3 linked regions of the Rattus norvegicus genome follow. The protein of the gene in region 3 purifies or fractionates together with the protein of the main gene of each other region. This does not show direct contact. Links are inferred from orthologs where the notes say so. Each region holds a gene or a part of one and is shown on either strand. Other genes may lie near its edges.

Evidence for each region.
Region 1: the proteins of Canx (region 3) and Pgrmc1 purify together in Homo sapiens (affinity purification with mass spectrometry; 3 studies listed by BioGRID and IntAct, with this or other methods). This does not show direct contact. The link is inferred for Rattus norvegicus from reciprocal best matches to the Homo sapiens genes CANX and PGRMC1.
Region 2: the proteins of Canx (region 3) and Tgfbr1 purify together in Homo sapiens (affinity purification with mass spectrometry; 3 studies listed by BioGRID and IntAct, with this or other methods). This does not show direct contact. The link is inferred for Rattus norvegicus from reciprocal best matches to the Homo sapiens genes CANX and TGFBR1.

What each region holds. Positions count from the first base shown.
Region 1 is NC_086039.1:120,694,805-120,702,553, forward strand, and holds the start of Pgrmc1 (membrane-associated progesterone receptor component 1), read left to right. Parts: upstream 1-3,805; 5' UTR 3,806-3,905; coding exon 3,906-4,233; intron 4,234-7,749. UniProt on the Homo sapiens protein: Component of a progesterone-binding protein complex. Binds progesterone. Has many reported cellular functions (heme homeostasis, interaction with CYPs). Required for the maintenance of uterine histoarchitecture and normal female reproductive lifespan.
Region 2 is NC_086023.1:66,445,767-66,453,341, reverse strand, and holds the start of Tgfbr1 (TGF-beta receptor type-1 precursor), read right to left. Parts: upstream 3,945-7,575; 5' UTR 3,863-3,944; coding exon 3,778-3,862; intron 1-3,777. UniProt on the Homo sapiens protein: Transmembrane serine/threonine kinase forming with the TGF-beta type II serine/threonine kinase receptor, TGFBR2, the non-promiscuous receptor for the TGF-beta cytokines TGFB1, TGFB2 and TGFB3.
Region 3 is NC_086028.1:35,131,540-35,138,509, forward strand, and holds part of Canx (calnexin precursor), read right to left. Parts: intron 4,959-6,970; coding exon 4,769-4,958; intron 2,417-4,768; coding exon 2,303-2,416; intron 1,658-2,302; coding exon 1,501-1,657; intron 36-1,500; coding exon 1-35. UniProt on the Homo sapiens protein: Calcium-binding protein that interacts with newly synthesized monoglucosylated glycoproteins in the endoplasmic reticulum. It may act in assisting protein assembly and/or in the retention within the ER of unassembled protein subunits.

The sequences.
Region 1 (7,749 bases), on a different chromosome or scaffold from region 3:
AAATTTTAACTTTGAATAAATATAACTTCAAAAAGTTTGAGCAGGAGTTGCCTGAGGAACCTAATGACTTCCTTTCTTTTTTCTCTTTAAAAATAGTATTTGTGCAACAATGCCAACCAACCAGGGCTTCCAGGGACTAAACCACTACCCAAAGACTACACATGGACTGACCCAGGGCTCCAACTGCATATGTAGCAGAGAATGGCCTTGTTGGGACACCAGTGGAAGGGGAAGCCCTTGGTCCTGCCAAGGTTGGACCCCCAGTACAGGGGGATATGGGGGGGGGCAATAAGGGGGATGTATAGAGGGAATACCTGCATGGGGGAGGGGGAGGGGAGGGAATGGGGGCTTATGGACAGGAAACTGGGAAGAGGAATAACATTTGAAATGTAAGTAAAGAAATATATCTAATAAAATATTTTAAATATATATAATATATAAAAATAGTATTTGTACTAGAAAAGAGTAGGTCAATATGTTGTCATTTGAAAGTACTTCTAGTATGATAAAATAAAATTTGTATGTGCCCAAGTTTCACTTTTGTTACTGCTTTTTTTTATTTTTTTACTGCTTTTATTATATACAATTAAGTACCTCTTCAGTCTGTAATAATGAACATATATGTCTTAGTCAGGGTTTCTATTCCTGCACAAACATCGTGACCAAGAAGCAAGTTGGGGAGGAGGGCATTTATTCAGCTTACACTTTCCATAGTGCTGTTCATCACCAAAGGAAGTCAGGACTGGAACTCAAGCAGGTCAGGGAGCAGGAGCTGATGGCCATGGAGGGATGTTACTCACTGGCTTGCTTCCCCTGGCTTGCTCAGCTTGCTTTCTTATAGAATCCAAGACTACCAGCCCACAATGGGCCCTCCCACCCTTGATCACTAATTGAGAAAATGCCTTACAGCTGGATCTCATGGAAGCATTTCCTCAAGGGAAGCTCTTTTCTCTGTGATAACTCCAGCTCAAGTTGACACACTAAACCAGCCAGTACAGTATATGTTTTATTTATTTATTTATTTATTTATTTATTTATTTATTTATTTATTTATTTATAAAATAAACCATCTTCTCAGGTGCTTAAAATGACTTGTGCATCTGGGCAGTGATGGCTCATGCCTTTAATCCCAGCACTCTGGACACAGAGTCAGGTGGATCTCTGAGTTCGAGGCCAGCCTGGTCTACAAACTGAATTCCAGGACAGCCAGAGTTACATAGAGAAACGAACAAGGAGGAGGAGGAGATAAAGACAGAGGGAGGGTAAGAAAGATAGGAAATAAGGAAGGAAGGAAGGAAGGAAGGAAGGAAGGAAGGAAGGAAGGAAGGAAGGTAAAGTGCTATGTGCAACTTGTGAAAAATTAATAACATTATCGTGTTTCCTTTCAGGCTTCCCTTTAAGTAATTTTAGGGAATTAACAATGTATATAGTTTTGTACACTATTTTCTCCCTGTATACTGAAATGTAAATATTTTCCCATGGTGTGTGCTGTTTGAATAGTCCAACTATGATTTTATCACGATATAAGTGAATTAATTAGCCACTTTATTTAAACTTGGACATTTGGGTTGTGTCCAGAGTTTCCATATTAAAAATGAATGTGTAACGAACATCTTCCTAATGAAATCTTGGTCCTCATTCTAAGCAGGATGGATTCCTAGAAGTGGATTACTGGGACAAAAATTCTATTTCTAGAAGTGGGTTTCTTGAAAACACTTATGGTTAACAAAAGCTTATGCCAATGTTGGTGTATGGGAGCATGCTCAGTTTCCTGCCAGCATGCTATCCCTTTCTGCTCTTTATTCCCGTCCTATAGAAAGATGGCAGATGACAACGTTATTTCTGTGTATTTTTAAATTGCGAACAAACCTGAACATTTTATATGCTTTTATTCACCACTGATACTTCCTCATTTTTTTTCCATTATGACTAGAGGATTTTACTAATGATTTTCTTTTCTTTCTTTTTTTGCTACATGTCTGTGCGTGTGGTCTGTGTTTGAGTGTGCATGTGTGTGTGGGGGGTACATTTGGGTGGATGGCAGAGGTTGAAGTATATAGTGTCTTCCTTGATTACTCCCACCTCAGTATCAGGGCAAAGGAGAGTCTAGCCTGCCGCTCACTCTCCAGCTCTGGCATTAAAGGCTAGCTGCCAACCCCTCCTGGCTTTTCTATGGGTGCTGGGGATTGGAAATCTGGTCCTCACACTTGCATGCCAGTGTGTTTTGCCCACTAGGCCATTTCCCCAGTCCCTTAACGATTTTCCTATCAATTGAAATGAGCACTTCAAGACAGAATTCTTTTGCCCTATTAGTTTCAAATGAAAATATTTTTTCACGAGCTTGTTATTGTTTTAGAAATGTCTGCTGCTCACAGGACTCTGTGAAAGGGATAACTGGATTATAACTGTACCTGAGTGCTCTCAGTTTGAGCTTGTTTCATGATGATTAAGTTGAAGAGTTTTGACAAAAGATCTGGAGGGGCCGGTTTAGCTAATCCTAAATTTAGCTCTGGAGAAAAATGTGTGGGCTGGATATAAAGATTGTTTGGCTCATTACATTTTAAGAAGATGGGGTGGGGGGCAGCAGGGATTAAATCAGTCTTTGCCAAAATTTTTCAGAATTTAGCCAGTATTCAGCACAAATCTCTTGCATGTAAATAGTGGTGGTAAACTATGCACAGACAAACAGGATTCTATGGGAAAGTAGTGCTCTGGTCTGCAGATGGTTGCATGGCTTGGTTTTAATTACTCTCCTTTTTCTTCTGTTACCCTCCCTCAATTACAATTTAAAGGGTGGGGTACAGCCAGATTAGGTCTCTGAAAAATAGGTGCAATTCTTGTTCCATAGAGGCCTGCTCCCAGGTAACCTGTTGGCATACCAGAGGCCTAGGTATCTCAAAAGATAAAACCTAGCATCCTTCCAAACTCCAGCATTTATCAGGGACTATGCTCAGGGTTACCATGACTCCAAAGGTAGTTTCCACAAACTTCAGATAGAAGAATGCTGTCAAGCAGAGAAACTTTCAACATTATTCTGGTATTTTTATAGAAAAAAAAGCTCAACAACAGAATGTCAGTGGCTGATTGCTGATGCCTTGTGACTAAGCATAATCGATGATTGCAAAAGGGAAAAAAAAAAGAACAAACTCAAATCTGGCTATCTGAGCTCCACGTTTTAAAGTGTTGGCAGGCCTGTTACCTGACTGGCAGTACTTCGGGTGTTAGTTAGTTCTGCAGCTTTGGGGCAAGAATTGGAGGAGAACCATCCCAAAATGGATATTTGAGTAGTCTAGGTCTGTAAGATGAAAAGGAGTTGAAGGCCTGATTTTTGAGTATCCTAAAACAGCTTCCTGGCTCTAAGGGTTCGGCCAGGAGAGAGACTATAGGGGCTTTAAAATGGAAGCAAAGCAACAGAAATGCGACCCCATTTTAACAAAGGAGCAGGCCCCCAGGAGCAAGCCCTAGAGGCAAGGCTCTCCCACAGGGTCGGCTGGAAGCTACCCACTGTACCCAGGAGACTGAACTGTGTGTCTGTGAACTGCACTACGCTCAGAGCGAGCCGTGAAACCGCGGAACAGGCCCAGCAGGTAGAACGGAGAGGTGGGCTGGGCTCCGTGGCCCACAATGACAGAGCTTTTGAGGGAGAAAGGCCAAGACCCCAGGCTAAGGAGCCTAAGCTGAGGTCGAGACTGCGGGAGCCAGCCCCAGCCAGTCCGAGCAGGGCGGGGCGCTTAGGTGGCCGCGAAGGCGTGGCGTAGAGGCTCCGCCCCTCGAGGCCCCGCCCCCTCTCGAGGCTTTTCTTGCAGAGCCACTGAACGCTGCGCGCCACTGTTCGCTTAGAGGGCGGAGGAAGCCGACTGTTCCGGATCTCTGCATAGCAGGGCCCAACCTTTGCTCCAGAGATCATGGCTGCCGAGGATGTGGTGGCGACTGGCGCCGACCCCAGCGAGCTGGAGGGCGGCGGGCTGCTTCAAGAGATTTTCACGTCGCCTCTCAACCTGCTGCTCCTTGGCCTCTGCATCTTCCTGCTCTACAAGATCGTTCGCGGGGACCAGCCCGGTGCCAGTGGGGACAACGACGACGACGAGCCGCCCCCGCTGCCCCGCCTCAAGCCGCGTGACTTCACCCCTGCCGAACTAAGGCGATACGATGGAGTCCAGGACCCGCGCATTCTTATGGCCATCAACGGCAAGGTGTTCGACGTGACCAAAGGCCGCAAGTTCTATGGGCCGGGTACGGAGGCAGGGCCAGGGGGTCGTGGAGACAAAAGAGGGGACCCTGGCGTGGGAGCGGGGCGGGAGAGAGACCGAGGGAGGTGGGGCGCCCCCTTGGGAGGGTCGGAGGGAAGGCGGGGAGCTCCGGGAGCGTGCCCGGGGCAAGAGGAGCTGGGGGTGGGAGGTGCTTACGGGGGGATGGGATGCCCGAATGAGGCTGAAGCTTGGAAACCGCGGGTGGGAGGGACAGCAAGGCTCGAAGGCCCGGGATGTTGGTGAAGTTTTCGAAGGTAGCGGGCTTTGGGCTTTGGATTGGGGGTCCTGAAAAGACGGGGAGGTTTCGGGTTTGAAAAAAAAAAAAGGAAGGTGTCTCCAGAGAGGCCCAGACACTTGAGAAGACGTGGAGGCCGATGACGCCGAAGGAGCCATGGTGGAATGTAAGGGTGTGCAAAGAGAGAAAGTGGAGAAGGGGATTAGTGTCAGGTAAAGAAGCATTGTTCCTGGTGGAGAATGTGTGTGTGTGTGTGTGTGTGTGTGTGTGTGTGTGTGTGTGTTACACTGTGCATGCGCAGTGAGTGTGTTTGGTGTACACCGTTTGGTGGGGGGGGTGCTTGGAATGTGACATGTGTTAGGTATGCCTTTGGTATGTGTTATATGCTTGTTATGTGGAGTGCACTGAGGCTGGATGATGACCAAGCAAACAAGCTTGATGGAGGGAAGGAGACTAGTTGAGGATGCATTAAGAAGAGCAGAGTGTGATGGACCATGGTAAGATGGTGAGATGGTCAGAAACATCATATTTAGTGTTGGGTTAGGGTGGGGAGACTGGGAGGTGGAAAAAAATAAAATGAAATTAAACCAGGGGCCGGGTTGGAAGGGAGGGTTGAGAGGGTCCTAAGAAACAATAGGGTAAGGCCATGAAGCCCGATGGGTGGGGGGATTTCAGGAAAAGCCAACCAGGGGATAAACAAGGCATGGACCACTAGTGAACTGTGGGAAAGGATCCCTAAAGATGTTTTTCCAAACTGGATTGCCTATCACAATCACCTACCTGATGCTTGTGAAAAGATACACATTCTTGGCCTGACCAGCCATAGTCACACTTACCTCTCTGGGGGAGGGGAGAGAGCTAAAAAATAATCTATGTTTTAGTACTCTCCTGTGGGGAAATCAGCCAGGTTTGGAAAGCCCTGCTTTCTAGAACATTTAGAGGGGAAGAAGAGGTTTTCGCTCTTCCAATATGGATTCCTCTAAGCACTAGGAACTCAGGGGGTGTGTTCACATGCTCATTGGTCTGAGAGGGAAGGCTAGTCAGCACTAATCCAAACCAGACATACCCACTCCATTAAGTCTCCAAAGTCCAGCCAATCAAAATCACATGTGCAGAAGGCTTTTAGCGAACACTCGCCCTTCATTTCTGCTTTCAGACATTTTAGAAAATCTATTTTCTGTAGGCATGTAACTGCAAAACAATGGGAAAACTGCTTGTCACTGTACTCGCACATTATCCATAAATAATCGTGTAAATACCCATAATTATTAAGCTAAACTCTAAGGTAATCAACACAAAGGCATGAGGCATCGGCATATGGTTGTAGTTTGCAAAGTCATCACACGGATCCTCGGTGCTTTCAGAGAGCACGGCTGGAGGCCATTCCATTCTAACCAGGTAGGTTATAGTTTGCAGAGTCATCCTGAGGGACATGGCTGTGTATACAGGGATAGCTCCAACTAGGAGTCAACCTGCACTCTACATTCAAGCCTAGATGTTGTCTGTCACTGACCAGCTGTGTGATCTGGCGCAACACATTGCTGTCTCAAGGCCTCACTTCTGGGAAAATAAAAAGGCAAGCACACCCCAATGTGAGGAGCCCGAGTTGCTACTCTCCATTATTGAAAGGGCTCAGGAACACTAATGACATCATAGTGGAAATATTTTCTGGTACAGAGCACACCTAAAATCAAGTCATTTGGGTGTCTAGTACTATGTGCACAGCACCATTGTGGGTGCTATGGAGTAACAGTGTGAGTTTAACAACATAGAGCTCTGTTCACCAAGCATCTAATTAATATGCTTTGTAGTGAACAAAATCTATTCTCTAAAGACTTAATATTTGCCTTCGATCTTGTTTAAGTAGGCATTACCAGTCCAGGAACTGTAATTTCTAAAATGGTTAAGAGTCCAAACCAAAACAGTTTGCTTGTTTCCAAAAGCACGAGGTGCTACTCTTTCTGTTAGCAGTATACATTTAGTGAAAAGCCTGTGAATGCGTTTCTTTTTAAATCTTCTCTAGTGGCAGTATGCAATGAGGAATGAAAACAGCCCCCATTTTAGAATCTTAGTTGCATTTACAAGTTGATCCCAAGGGCTTGAAGTATGTCTCAGCAGTAGGGTGCTTTCCTAGAATATGCAAAGACTGAGTCCTACAGAAAAGGGATCATAAAATTGAATATGTTAGAAAAGCAGTTGGGTGGACTAAAGTTTCAGATCACCAGATAGTAACCAAATACCAGGCACTCTGCTAGTTGACATAATGATTTTAAGGTCAGAGTTGCTCTCCAGCCTACTTTTGGGAAAACGAGGCATTGTTTAAAGTACCCTGAATTCTTTTCATTTGCTTGTGCCATATTTAACTAACACTAAATAAACACTTTAGGTGAATTCAGAATGATCCACTGCTCTCAGACAAAACCTTGCTATGATGTTATACGTACATAATAGCATTTTCCAGGTTTTATGAGATTACTTGAAGGCACCGATTGCAGCCTTTTTCAGGGAAGATTTTAGTGTTTTCACCACTGTTGGTTCTTATTTGTATGCTTATACTTAAAAAAAAAAAACAGTTCAAACCTGATCTCCCTTGTTCTTATTGATTGACAGTAAAGGTTATATAACGTGGGTAGGTTTTTGAACCACTGACATTTGTAAAATCATTGCTCCTACAGAAGCCTTACGGTTCATGTCTTGAAACCAAAGATCATTTAAAGCACATCAGAATGTGTTGCTAAGGAAATGTTTTCATTTACACATTAGTGTTTAAGAAACCGTAACTTTTGACTGCCTTGGCTAAAGCACCTAGAATAGAGCTAACCTGTAGATACAAAGTCTGAGCTGAATTCTAAACCTTGATGATTATACACTCAAGGCCACCCCCGAATGAATCACTTATGCTTATATTAGCTATGTGCAGGACATAGGAGATTTCAAATGCTACACGTTTTAATTTCATTTTACTTATTGAAGTGACAGGAAGTCTGTCAACATCCTTTATGTAATGATCAAAGCATCAGTATACATGTAGCTTAAGAATGGAATAGGAAACCAGGAAGTGATATTCATTTAATCCCAGCACCCAGGAGGCAGAGGCAGAGGCAGATGGACCTCTGTGAATTTGAGGACAGCCAGAGCTACACGGAAATCCTGTCTCAAAAAACCCACCAAACAAAAAAGAATTAAAAGGAGGCTTTCAGTGTTGAAAGCAAGGAAGCCATCTTTTGCATGTGAGACACAGAGGTGTATATATCTAGTAAATAT
Region 2 (7,575 bases), on a different chromosome or scaffold from region 3:
TATGTATGTGTATATATATATATACACACACACAACTCTAAATCAACATAGCATAATCCATCCATAAATATAACTATTCACACAGAATTCACTTAACACACATTTATGTAGAACAGAATCTAAGACAAGGTAGTAGGTTCTGAAGACATAAAGGCATAATTCGCCCCTGAAAACTCAATACAAACTCAAATAGTTAACAATTCAGGAGGGTGACAATGGATAACACAAACATGTAATGCTATACAGTTCCAAGAGATGGAGTTCAAAGAGAGGTACAATGTCAAGTCTGAGGTCTGTCTGTCCTCAAATTCCCATAAAAGAGATAAAATAAAGTATGCAGCAAAGACTGAAGAGTCAGGAACTAGTGGGAAAGCAGCTATCATTAGAAACGGGAGTTTGCAGTCCTGAGACATCTTTCAAGTGGAATAATTCTAATTCCTAACCTCACACAGGAAACCTTCAAACCTCATGGACAGTCCAGGATAGTTTGGCATCTGTTAATACAAAACCCCCCATGACAGAACACATATACTTAGGGATAACTGGCAGCGCTAAGCTGGGAGTTGCTCAGCAGGAGTGGGGAAAGATGTTAGGCATTTTCTCCAAGAAAATCCTGAAATTGCTGGCAGCAAACAGCATTCTAACACGTGATGCAATATAAACAGAGTAATATTGTATACTTGTCCAGGGATAAGGAACCAATTTCTCTACAAAGATCTATATTGGAGAAAACAGAAGCTAGCAGAGAAATATAAATAACACTCAGACAGTAAAGAACAACTTCAAGTTTTAAGAGAAGATCTGCACTTCTTCAGAATATATAAAGGGCCACACTGAAACATCAACCTAACTCAGTGAGTCAAGGTGAACTTATCTAGGTCTAGCTTCCTATTTTTTGGGGGGGTGGGAGTGGGGTTGAGATAAAGCCTCTATATTCTATAGTTCTGGATGTCCTAGAACTCACTATATAGACCAGAATCTGTCTGCCTCTGCTTCTTGAGTGCTTAGTTTAAAGGCATGAGTCACAAGGCCCAGCAGGTCATAGCTTCTTTTTTTTCTTTTCTTTTATTGGATACTTTTTTATTTACATTTCAAATGTTATCCCCTTTCCTGGCTTCCCCTTTGGAAACTCCCTATCCCATCCTCCCTCCCCCTGCTTCTATGAGGGTGCTCCCCACCCACCCGCTCCCCTCCTGCCTTCCCACCCTGGCATTCCCCTACAACACTGGGGCATCCAGCCTTCACAGGACCAAGAGGCCATAGCTTCTTAAACTGAATCCTAACTCCTTATAGAGGTGCTGGGTCATACAACAATCTGGCAATACTCAAGGACTTCTGAATGTATAACACTCCAAATTAATTAAAAATCAAATGAGTAATGAATCTGAAGTGTTTCTGGCAATGCATGCTTGTGTTACATGATGCAACTTCACAACACCCTTGGTTCTAAACACACTTGCTGTCGTGTTATGCAGTGCTAACATTTATTTTTATAAGTTTTAATGTTTTTTATTAAATAAAAAGTTTTCTATTCTTCCAGAAACATACATACAGAAAAGGCTTTCATCCTTCATGTATATCAAAGTGGTATATTTGTGATCGATTGTAGATCGACTGTATTGTGTTAGAATGTCTGATTTTAAAAACTGCTGTTTAAGTTGCTGACTTAAATTTCATTTTAAAAATTATTAAATGAGGTCTGGAGAGACGGCTCAGTGGTTAAGGGCATCGACTGCCCTTCCAGAGGTCCTGAGTTCAATTCCCAGCAACCACATGGTAGCTCACAGCCATCTGTAATAAGATCTGATGCCCTCTTCTGGTGTGTCTGAAGACAGCTACAGCATACTTATATAAATAAAAAATTATTAAATAAATTTCATCTTGTGATTAAGAGAGAATTTTCAACAATGTCTGAAATGGCCCTAAACAATTATATGGAGTCGTTGGCATTGGATGATTTAATTCTTTAAGTAAAAATAAACTCACCCATCTCATTACTATGAAAATGTGCTTGAATCTTTAATAAATAGTAAAATTGTATGTACCAATGAATTGTTTTAAAATAATTTCATTTATGATCTATTATCAGCACATCTGAATTATATACTTGCTTTCTACATTTTGTACTCAAGGTCACGTACAATCTTTTGAGAAAAGAGGATGGCAAACGGGGAAAGTTTATGAAGTACTAGTCTAGGTTTTGAGTAATAAAATCCTCCAGGACACGGACCAACCTTCTCAGCATCTAAGTCAATACTGCTAAATGCATGAACGTGTCTTGCTTTGTTTTAGGTAGAAAAGAATTACTTTATTCAAATAATTGTAGAGATATGGCCACTTATAGTTGGTGAATAATTATAACAATTCCCCCACTTTGTCCACCGTTATTCCCTTCCTAAGCCAATGTCAAAAACCCATGGTATCTTCTAATGAAGACCTTTGTGAAGGGAATGTTCAAGTACTAGGTTGTTCAAGTTCAAGTAAACTAAGAAACTGATGGCTAAGTTCTAAGTGTCAAATATCAACTGTTCTTTAAGTGGGCTATGCTACGGTATAGCAGGTGCACTGATTTTGAGCCCAGAAAGGCCTAAGTACAAATTAATTTCTGCACTTACTAAGAACGTAATCTCCTGCACCTCAGTTTTCAAGTCAATGTACAGGACAAGTACTGGTAGCCCCGAGGGTTCTGTGCCCCGAGATACTGTGCCTTTTACATCTGCATTATAATCAACTCCCAATAAACAGTTACTATTAAGTTTAATAACAGCTGGCATCCACAGTCTGGAGAGATTTTTGTTTTGGTATGCTTTGCTTTTTAAAATGTTATCCAATTTCAGCAACAGACATGTATTTTCACTGTATTTTAGTTGCTAATCTGAGCCTCAGTATTTTGCTTTCTCCTATTTTAATCGGTTCCGGACTAAGTTTTTCAATCTTCCCTCCACGGGGTGACAACCGTATCACGGCCGGTTTTAATATTTTGGAAAACTACACATTTTCCCTTCAAAAGCCAGCTACATAGAGGTCTGATTTTAAGACTACTGCTTAAGGAAACGATACACCCAAAGCAACGATCCCGTCGAGAAAAAGAAATCTTTGATCAATTCTACAGAATCATTCCCATTCAAACGATCCCAAGTCTGCAGAGTGAGCAAACGTTCAAGTTTCTACTAGCAAGGCAATCTTCTGGTTACTGAACTCTCAACTCTTCCCAGACGCACGAAGAGAGAACATTCCGCGCATCTTCGCGCCTGCTTCTCACACAAAGCCCCCGGTTGAAGAAAAGTCGCCCTAGGCGGGCGCCGACACTCACAGCAGTGCGGCCCACCCGGGATCTCTGCCCACGGCGCCCCTTACGACCCTCCGAGGAGCCCTCCACGCGCCGAGCCCCGGAGCGCCTCCACGCCGGTGCCCGCCCACGCCCTAACAGTCTCAGGCCGGAGAGCACTTAGGCAGTGGAATCAGGGGGCCACGGTCCCCGCCGGCCTCACACCCCCGAGGGCAGCCACAGACCTCAGCAGGCTCGCCAGCCGCTGCTCCCGGGAGCCCAAGAGGGCAGGCCTCCGCTCGGTGTTCGGCCACCCGCGCTCGACACCGCCCCCGCCCCGCCTCTCCTCCCCGCCCCGGCTCGCGTGGCGCCTGCCGGGTCAGGAAAGCTCGGCCGGCCCGGCGCCGCCACCTGCGCCCCCGGCCCCGCGCCATGTTTGAGAAAGAGCTGAAGCGAGCCAGAGGCCGGGCCCGGCTCGCGCGCCCCACAGCCACCCGCCCGCCACTCACCCTTCGCCCCCGGGAGCAGCGTCGCCGCCGCCACCAACACGATGAGAAGCAGGCAGCGACGCAAAGCAGCCGACGCCGCCTCCATGGTCCCGCTGCCACTGTTTGTGGCCCGGCCCGGCCCCGGCCTCAGCTTCTCCTCAACAAGCCTCGCCTCTCCTCGCCCCACCTCCCCGCCGCCGCTGCGGCCTCGCTCCGGCCCTTTGTAACTGCTCGAGGGGCGCACGCCCATTGGCTGCCCAGCTCCCGCCGACCCCGCCTCCCCCGCCGCCCGCGAGCGCCCTAGAGGGACCCAGCGGAGAGCCCCGCCCTCGGGGCCCCTGGGCGGCCAATGAGCGGCCCTGGACTTCTGCCTCTAACCACGCCTCCGCACTGCTGGGCCTCTGGCCACGCCCCCTCACCGCTGGGCGCCTATACTCCAGCCACAGCAGGGTAGCTCGTACTCTACCGGCGGGTGGGGGCAGGGTCCAGCCTGCGCGCCCGAGGGAGCCCGCAGTCCGGACTAAGCGCTGGGTGTGCCCGTAAGAGTTGCTCAGGGAAAGACTGTGGACGTTGCTCGCTCTTTTCTTCTACTCCAACCCCACCCTGACTTTCCCTGCACAGTCCTGCACCGGCAAAGCTCAACTATCGCCACTCCGACCCTCAATACGGTCCGCGGTTCAACTTCTTCTCCCTAGACCCGCTCCTCAATTCCCAGCCTCCCCGCAAAGATAACCCGATTTCTTCCCGCACTCTATGGCCGCCCCAGACCTAGTCTTGCCCTCCTCAAATTCCAGTCCCAAAGTCGGAGCCCAGATTCTGAATCCCGAGGCGGAGCTCAGACACACCCCTGAGTGGCCTGTGTCTCTCGGCAGTATAAACAGACTGTGGGTCCCCGCCGCTCTCCTTCCCTCCCACCTTCCTGACCCCGCGTGGAAGCGGAGAGGCCTACGGGTTTTGAATGATGGGGGATTCGGGGCGAAGCGGGAGCAGTCATAGGTACTTAGAGCTGTCTCCGACACGCCTGTGTAATAATTTCGAGGTGTCACTAAAAACCCAAATAAACTCAGCTCCGCTTTCATTCTGAATTCCTAATTTACTGTGAGACGCTCCACCCACCTTCCCTCTGGGATGCCAAAATGAGCTCCAGATTTGTAATTCTTCCTGTCAGACTAGTCCTTTCTTCAGACACAAACACAGTCACGGAGGCGGCCGCATGGCACCGACAGCATTTTTCCGCAGAACCTTTTAAGGAGAAAATTTTATTTTCTGTATGATTTGAACTCGGAATTAAATGAAGCTCGGTAGTAGGAACCAGCCGGCCTCTAGTATCTGTTAGTAAATTGTTTTACAGCCACTCTCCAAGAGTTTGATCCTGCTTATGAAAGCAAACCGTGGGGGTTAGAGCTGGGGTCTGAGACTGCTTCTCGGCTCCAGCTAGGACACGCTTGAGCAAGTCCTAACCTGCCAGAACCTGAACAGGCCTGCTCTCTGGGACTGCAGAACGATCAGTTCCTAGCTCCCCTGCACCGAGGCTACAGAGACTAAATTTGACTAGCTTCTAAGGCAATCTCTCTGAAAGACTTAAAGGGGCTGTCACACCCGAAATCTCCAGTGCCTATCCCCGCCTCACCCCCACCCCCAAAGCCTTGTACTTCCTCGGCAAGTACTCTACTAATAGCTAGGCAAATACTCTCTACTGATAAGCTACGGCCCCAGTTCTTGTTATTTTTTTAAAGATTGGGTCCAGCTCCTATGTGCACCACGTGCATGTAGTGCTTGTGGAGTCCAGAAGAGGGCGTCCAATTACTTGGAACTGGAGTTGCAGGTGGTTGTGGGCTACCCGACAAGAATGCTAAGAACAGAACCACTTCCTCTGCCAGAGCAGTCTCTTAACTATTCACCCATGGCCCCGGCCCCCAGCCCTTGTTTTTTACAGACAGGATCTCAGGCTAGACTGAAATTTGGAATCCTCCTGCCTTAGTCTCCCACCTCCCCTCCCCCAGGGCTGGGGTTACAGCCACATGCCAAGATGCCCCTCCCCTCTTCTTTTTCTGATCTAGTCTGTGCCTTGCATAAGATCTCAAGAGAGTTTTTATTCTATGCATGAATAATTAATCTCATAGGAATTTTTTCCTCTGGTTATCTTTAATGGGTAGCAAATATTAAAAGCACCCATCCCGCTCATAAATGGGACTAAAACGCAAGTCCAGGGTTCCTTGGTGACATAATGTGTCTGGAGCAGTGCTGGGATGCAGTAAATATTTAGTTAATGCCATTTACTTCGCCCAGCCCCCTTGCATGATGTTAACCTTGAATCTAACCCAATGCTTTGCCATATGAAGCCTGTACCGAGCAGCACGAGGATTCTTTTTTCCTGTGACACACTTCCGAGTCCAGGACATTTTCCATGGAACTAAGTGCATTCACTAGGGAACCGAGGAACGGGAAGGAGAAACAGACAATTTTTAAATTACATCTTGCTGATATTAGGAGGAAATTTCCACAAGTTACGGATCTGAAAATAAGTTGTGTCAGAATAGAACAAAAACTGTCCGTTTAAACTGCAGTTTTTCAGGTGCAGATGTCTGGGTCTGGGACACCTGCTAAAGCCCCTCTAGAGGCAGGCCAAGGATCTGCATTGTTAATAAACTCAGGAGGTTCTCCTGCACAGGGCCACTTCAGAAGACCGCTTAAACACAGGAAAATGAATGAGCCCAAGTGGGTTGAAGGGTTGAGCCACGGAATGAAGCCTCCAGCCTTGGAGACTTACAGACCCTAGTGATTCTAGCATTTTCTAGATATGGGTATGGGACCTGCCTGATTTCTACTCACTCCCTAACTCCAACACTCATTGGCCTTTTGGCACCCCTTCCCCACAGCTACACACACACACACACACACACACACACACACACACACACACACACACCCCTCCCGCCCACTTTCCCTGTGGCATAGTAAGAATTATCTCTCCTCTATACACAGTTTTGTGGTGAGGCCTGAGTGGTTGGTTGCCCATAGGGAGTCAGTCACTAAAGTTCATTCCCGTCTTAGTCTCCACAGATTCTCAGAAGGCTCTCAGGGTGCTCACTCTAATGTCTTGATTTAAAGGGGAAGAGAAAGTGTCATGTCTCAGCAAGTCAGCTGTGGAGCTCTGTCTGGAGAAGTACTCCAGTGCCTCGCCCTCTACACAGGAGACCCTCTCAGTCTTTACACTGACTACGTTGGTTGTTTTCCCTTTGGGCGATTCTCTTAACTAAGCGAAAGGTTCTAGTTGTTTCCTCTCTATCCCTTCCTAGACTTGCTTGGTAACAGAATCCTAACTCCTTCAGGGAAAGCAGTTCACCGGGAGGGGAGGGGTAGGGAGAAAGGGGAGAGGGGTTCAATTTGTTCAGCTCCACACTTCAGTGAGAGTGCAGCAGGGTTCAGTTCGGCAAAGCATGAACTGGAATCTCTCTCCTTCCCAGCTGAGTTTGCTCCCCCTTTGTTTGTGATGACTAATCTCGGCTGTCCACTTGACCCAATTTGGAATCTACTAAAATGCAAGCTGCTGGCCACTTCTGCAAGGGTCTTTCTGGGCAGATTGTTTGTAGTGAGAAGACTCACCCTAAATGGCATTTTTGGGTGGTGGTCCAGAAGCTTTGTCTTGTTTTGTTTGCCTGCTTGCCCTCACTTTCACCACCAAGTCCACGAACCCCATTACTGTAGCCTTCCTTCGCCAGCCTTCTGTGAGCCCCGGAAGCACACTGAAGACCAGTAGGCCTCCAGGCCTTCAACCGCAGACTAGGACTGCTGGGATACCCAGCTCCACGGGCTGAG
Region 3 (6,970 bases):
TCTGGATTGGGTATTTTCCTTGGTTTCCAGATTCCCTAGTTTGTGATGGGGTGGGGGTGGGGGTGGGGTGAGGCGGGAGAAGTTCCAAAACATCATTTTAGGTATTAACCAAAAGAAAAAGAGAAATCTATATGACTCATTTTGAATGATCAAAGAAGATAAACATTAACTGTCAAATTTAAACAAGCACAGAACAATAAATGCTAGTGATGTTTTTGTACTGAATTCTGGACTACCACCAAATTCAATTTCCAATCTGCAGGATCTTGTTCTATACTAACACCTGGTTCTATGTCTCTCACTCCACCCTTAATAAGTGATGGTGGAATGTGGTCAGTACAGCCATTTCCCATTTCCCAGTAGTGATTAAAATATACAATGTACAGTCTTCACCTAGCAACTAGTAATTTAGCTCTAAAGATCAAATAAAAAAGTACTGACTACAAACATCTGATGGTTTCAGCTGCAATGACTCTAACCCAGGATACCTTAAACTACTCCTGATCTTCCTAGTTAAACCTGAAGTTGACATTTCAACTCCTGGTCCTCGTGCCAACAACCAAATGTTAGAATTATAGGCATTAAAAAAAAAAAATCCAGATAGCCAAATGGCAAGCTAAAGTATAATTTTTTTGTTTGAACAGTTATCTAAGTGAACAACTAAAACCATTTTACAACAGAAAAACACACACAATATATGCATATAGATGTACCACCATACATCTAAAAATCTAAGTGAAAATCTATTCCTATAGCTTTTTTGGTTTAGAAACTGAAGCCAGATTAAGGACCTACATTCCACAAGTGGAGCTTCATAACTCACTACACATATTACTACACTTCATGTGCGCCTGTCTTAGGCAGGTGAAGAAAACGATGAGACCAAGCAATCTGCTGTCTCGACTCCCATCACAGTTCCCTTATGGCCAATCTGCACTCACCAATAGAGTATACATACCCTAAGTTCTTCTATTCTACTTTTATTTTTAGATAAATGTCACTATGATGGTTTTGAATAAAAATGGGCTCCATAGACTCATGTGTGGCCTTATTGGAGGAAGTATGTCACTGTGGGGACGGACGGGCTTTGAGTTCTTGTATGATCAAGCTCTGCCCAATATGGCACACAGTTCCATTCTGCTGCCTGCTGGTCAAAATGTAGAACTTTCCAGCACTGTGTCTGCCTGCAGGCTTCCTGCCATAATGACAAGGGACTGAACCTCTGAAACTGTACGCCACCCCTAATTAAATACTTTCCTTTGTAACAGATGTCTTAGTCACGGTGTTTCTCTTCATAGCAATAGAAATCCAAACTAAGACAATCACACAACAAGTTCAAACACTTCTCTTGCCTGTCTTTAAGTTTTATGTTTAGCCCATTATTCACCTGTCTCTTAAGTTTACTTTCTCTTCTTGATATGCTGGTCTTACTATTGATCAAACTTCTGCCCTGACACCAAGAAATGAACAAAAACACCTAAACCATCAGGAGACACAAACCTGGTAGTTAGGATTGTCAATCATAGGAGGCTTCCATTTGCCCTTATAATTGGGGTTGTCAATCATAGGTCGCTGCCAGACACCACACCCAGGGGCGGACTCACACTTAGGGTTGGCAATCTGAGGAGCCTCCCATTCTCCGTCCATATCCTCATCCCTGTGGAGATATAAACAAGTTATATAGACAAACTGCTAGTCTTATGCTCTCAAGATGCCGTTAGAGCTGTATCAGCAGCATACAACAGAACAAATTCTCATTTCTCATTCCCAATATCAATGAGCTTTCATTAACAACCTACTTTGTTTTTGTACAGTGAAATTTCGTAAAGTTTTTGTAAGGCTTTTCACTCAAACCTGGGCTGTTGGCTTTTTTTCTTTTTCCTTTTGGTTTTAGTACAGGGTTTCTCTGGTACCCCTGGAAGTCAGCGATCCACCTGCCTGAGTGCTGAGATAAAGGCGGCTATTACTATACCCAGCTTCTTTCTTTTCTTTTGTTTTTTGTTTGGGGAGAGGGGCACGCAGTTATTGCTTTGATTTCAAGACAGGGTTTCTCTGTGCAGCAGCTTTGGCTGTCCTGAAACTAACTTTGTAGACTAGGTTAGGTTTGCCTCAATCTCAGAGATCTGCCTGCCTCTGCTAGGATTAAATGCCTGATTTTACTTACTTCTCTTCCAGATCCAGCTCCAACTGACTTGACACACTTAAGACAAACATGCAGACAAAACACCAAAGCACATAAAATAAAAATAAATTTTAAAAACAAAAAAAAAACAGGTAATTATAAAAGCAAACTCAAACTCACCAATCTTCTGGTTTCTCTGCATCAGGGTCTGGAATATACTCGGGTTCATCATCTAACCAGCCTTCAGGCTTTGTGGCCTCTTCATCTGGAATCTTAGAAGGGGCATCTTCATCCCTTAAAACAGAAAACACCAGGTATGATAACCCAGGCCAGAGAATCAGTCATGGTAGTCTTTTTTACAAACCAAGATTAATTCATTCTAAAATACATTTATAAATCATTATCTGAGCTACTGTCCAAAAGAAAAAAAGAAAAAGAACAAAGAAACAAATAAAAACAGCAGCTAAAGATCAAGTAAAGATTTTTCTAATGGAACTACAGGAATCTTCAAGAGTTACAAGAGAAGATGCTTAACCTCACTGGTCATCAGAGAAATATAAATTAAAACCATGGTAATATACCACACTATCAAACATCCACATAGAAGGCCATTACAATAAGACATTCTGAGGGGGGTTGGGGATTTAGCTCAGTGGTAGAGCGCTTGCCTAGCAAGCGTAAGGCCCTGGGTTCAGTCCCCAGCTCCGAGAAAAAAAAAAAAATTCTGAGGGAGGGCTGGAGAGATGGCTCAACGGTTAGAGCACTGACCACTCTTCCAGAGGTCCTGAGTTCAAATCCCAGCAACCACATGGTGGATCGCAACCATCTGTAATGGGATCAGATGCCCTCTTCTGGTATGTCTGAAGACAGCTATAGTATACCCAGATACAATAAACAAATAAATCTTTAAAAAAAAAAAAAAGAAATTCTGAGGGAAAACAAATAAAAAATAAGTGCTGGTGAAAAGAAAGGTTCAGTTCCTCAAAATTGGAAGTTACTGTATAACAATTTCATCCCAAAGTTTGTATCTGAAAAAGGGGCAACCACCTACACATCTATCAATTACGTGATGGTTAAATGGATAAGCATAGTATATTAAGTATTTCTCAGTCATAAAAATGTTTCAATATGTTGACCACAAGAAGCCAAAGGCCAAATATTATTATTCAATATTATTTCGATAAATTTCTCAATGGAGAAATCCAGAAACAGAAAACAGGCAGATGAGTGGTAGCCAGAGTCTGGGACAAGGGAGTGACAGTAGGGTACATGATAACACCCTACAATTAGATAGCACTGTACATAGAGCACTGCAGATACATTAACCATCACTGTGTTATGCACCACAAAAAAGGTACGCAAGATGGTCATGGCAGTATACAGCAATTTCAGCACTGTCAAGGCTGAGACAGAATCCTGATGAGATTAACCTAGATTACACAGAAAACAGCATTTTAAAAAAGGCGTGCATGGCCGAAAGGGGTGGGAGCGGGGCAGGGCATGGAGGTGGAGGTGGTATCTCATCTAAAATAAGACTCAGAGGAGCTAGAAAGATAGCTAGATGGTTAAGAGCACTGGCTGCTCTTTCAGGTGACCATAGTTTAAGTTCCAGTGCCTACATGGCAGGTTACAACCATTATAGCTCCAGTTTCCTCCTCTGGCCTCCTCAGGAACCAGGAATGAATGGTGCAGGGACCACTGTCATATAGAAGCTATAAAAGTACTACTTCAGCTGGTAATCAAAAATATTCTACTTGTGCTCAATTGTACTGTTTAGTGTCCTGGCACCGTACTCAAGGCCTCATGTCCTCTAACACTGAGAAATAACTCCCTCAAAAGAGACTGTTTTGTGACTATCTTAGTTTTAAATTAACTCTATGATGACCTCAAAGCTTCGTGTAACTTCGCCTGATATTTTAAAGTTCAATACTCTCTTCATCCCATTAAAAAAAAAGCTGGTGAGCTGGGCGTGGTGGTACAATGCTTTTAATCCCAGACCTTAGGAAGCAGAGAGATCTGTTAGTTCAGGGTCAGTCTAGTTCAAAGAAACCCAAGCCTACACAAGGAAACTGTCTCAAAAACAAAAATTTCAAGAACTTTAACAGCTTTCAATGTGGGTGGTAGGAGTGTTACTTAGCAATATAACACATGTTTTTAGTATGCAGGAGGACTTGGGTTAAATCCTTAGCACTGTAACCCAGTTTAACTGGCAATAATGAAACACTAGAATGGCTGTACAAAAAGATTGCCACAAGCTGACCCTGACCCTGTCAGCACAGACAAACCACAAAAGCTTTAGCACCCTGTAGTTTATAACCTAGTGAGGGATAATATATATTACCACTGTATTCTTTTCCATCAGAGTAATCGGTACTTTTCTCCTGTAAAATAGATTATGTAAGTTCCCTCTCCTCCTCTCCCCGCAAGCAAGCATAGGGTCTTACTATGTAGTCCACACTTACCTCACACTCAATCTTTCTGCCTTGGCCTCTTGAGTGCTAGGATTACAGGCATGTGCTAACATGCCTAGACTATATCACAGAGTATTTACATAATAGTATCTCACTTTATCAACATTTGTGGTTTAAGCCATGTAGAATACACACGTTGTAAACTAATATTCAAAGATGGATCTCCAAGATTTACCAGTCATCTGGCTTGACAGCATCTGGATCTGCTATTTTGGGCCTTTCATCCCAATCTTCAGGCTTCCGGTCTTCTGGGTCCTCAATTTCACGTGAAGGGTTTACCGGAGGGGTCATGTCATTTAGCAGGTTTCCACTGTTCACAACAGACTGGTCAACTAATATTTCAAAACTATTGTCTGGATTCAAGACTAAAAGAAATTAAATGCAATTAGAAATACTGACTAAACCACTCATTCCAACATTTCCATCAATCTAACACAGTAGATCATATCTTCTAGAGAGAGACCCAGTGGGTAGTCATGAAACAGAGTTCAGGGTACTTGGAGTTAGAATGTCATAGTCGGGGCTGGGGATTTAGCTCAGTGGTAGAGCGCTTACCTAGGAAGCGCAAGGCCCTGGGTTCGGTCCCCAGCTCCAAAAAAAAAGAACCAAAAAAAAAAAAAAAAAAAAAAAGTCATAGTCAACAAAGCCTAGTTCTGTAAGAGCCTAGGGCCCCAATGCCATTTCCTTGGGTTCCTAGAAGTTACAAATGATTTTTTTTTCTCTTTCTTTTCTTGGTTTTATTAAGACAGGGTTTCTGTCTTGCCTCAGCTGTCTTAAAGCTCTCTTTGTACATCAGGCTGGCCTTGAACTCACAGAGATCTACCTGCCTCTACAAATGATAAATAATAATAAGCTCAAACCCCAGGGTCTTGTACACACTGGACAAGCACTTTTACCCTGGTCCATGTCTATGAAAATAGTTAAAGGACCTGAATTAATGGCTCATTAATTAAGAGCTCTAACTGCTCTTCTAGAGGATGAGGACTCAATTCCAGGACTTAAATGGCTGCTCACAATCTTCTATAACTTCAGTTGCAAAAGATTTGATAAACTTTTCTGGTTTGTAGGGGCACCAAGCACACATATTGTATAAAGGCATACATGGATAAAAAATACCCATATATATAAATAGTAATTAAAAATAAATAAGGGCGTGAAAGATTACTTATTGGTTAAGAACACTGGTTGCGGGGTTGGGGATTTAGCTCAGCGGTAGAGCACTTGCCTAGCAAGCACAAGGCCCTGGGTTCGGTCCCCAGCTCCGAAAAAAAGAAAAAAAAAAAAAAAAAAGAACACTGGTTGCTTTTCCAAAGAACCCAGGCTCAATTTCTAGCAACCACAATGGTGGCTCACAACCATCTCTAACTTCAGTTCCAGCAGAGTAAACGCATGCATACACATGTGCGCGCGCTTTCTCTCTCTCTCTCTCTCTCTCTCTCTCTCTCTCTCTCTCACACACACACACACACACACACACACACACATACACACACACACACACAGGCAAGATGTAATTGTGCATACCTCTAATATCAGTACTTGCTAGGCAAACTAGTTTGAGGTCATATACAACAAGACCCTGCCTCAAAACAGCAATAAAGACCTACAAGGTAAGGAGGCATTCTCCTGTGATCTCAACACTACGGTGATAAGAGGTGATAGGAGGGTCATCAATTTTACTCTCAGCTATATAGGAGTTTAAGAATAAGGTAAGTAAAGAAAGAAAAAGAAAAAGCATTTTGTGTAATGGTACATGCCTTTAATCTCAGCACTTGGGTAGCAGAGGCAGGCAGATCTGAGCTTGAGGCCAGCCTGACTATATAGAAAAATCTAGAACAGACATACCTGCATAGCAAGACCCTGTCACAAAATAACATTAGTTAATTTTAAATACAAATTGGTAAAACACTACAGCAGCAGATAAAGGCACGTGCCACACAATCCCAGTGCTCTGAGTTAGAGTCCAAGAACCCACATTAGGGCAGGAAAGAAACATCTTCAAAGTTGTCCTCTGACCTCCACATAATTACCCACAAACCACACTGACAGGATCTAGAGAAATGGCTCAGTGGTTGAGAACAGCAGCTGTTCTTCCACAAGACCCAGCTCAATTCTCAGCACCTACATGGTGGCTTACAACTGTATTTAAAATTCTACCTCTAGGGCATCAATATACTCTTCCTACATCTCAGCACCAGGCATGCAAGAGGTACACAGGCATACATGCAGACATATAACACACACGTTTCACTTGTGCTGGAGAGATGGCTCAGCAGTTAAGAGCACTGACTGCTCTTCCAGAGGTCCTGAGTTCAATTCCCAGCAACCACATGGTGACTCACAGCCATCTGTAATGGGATCCAATGCCCTCTTCTGG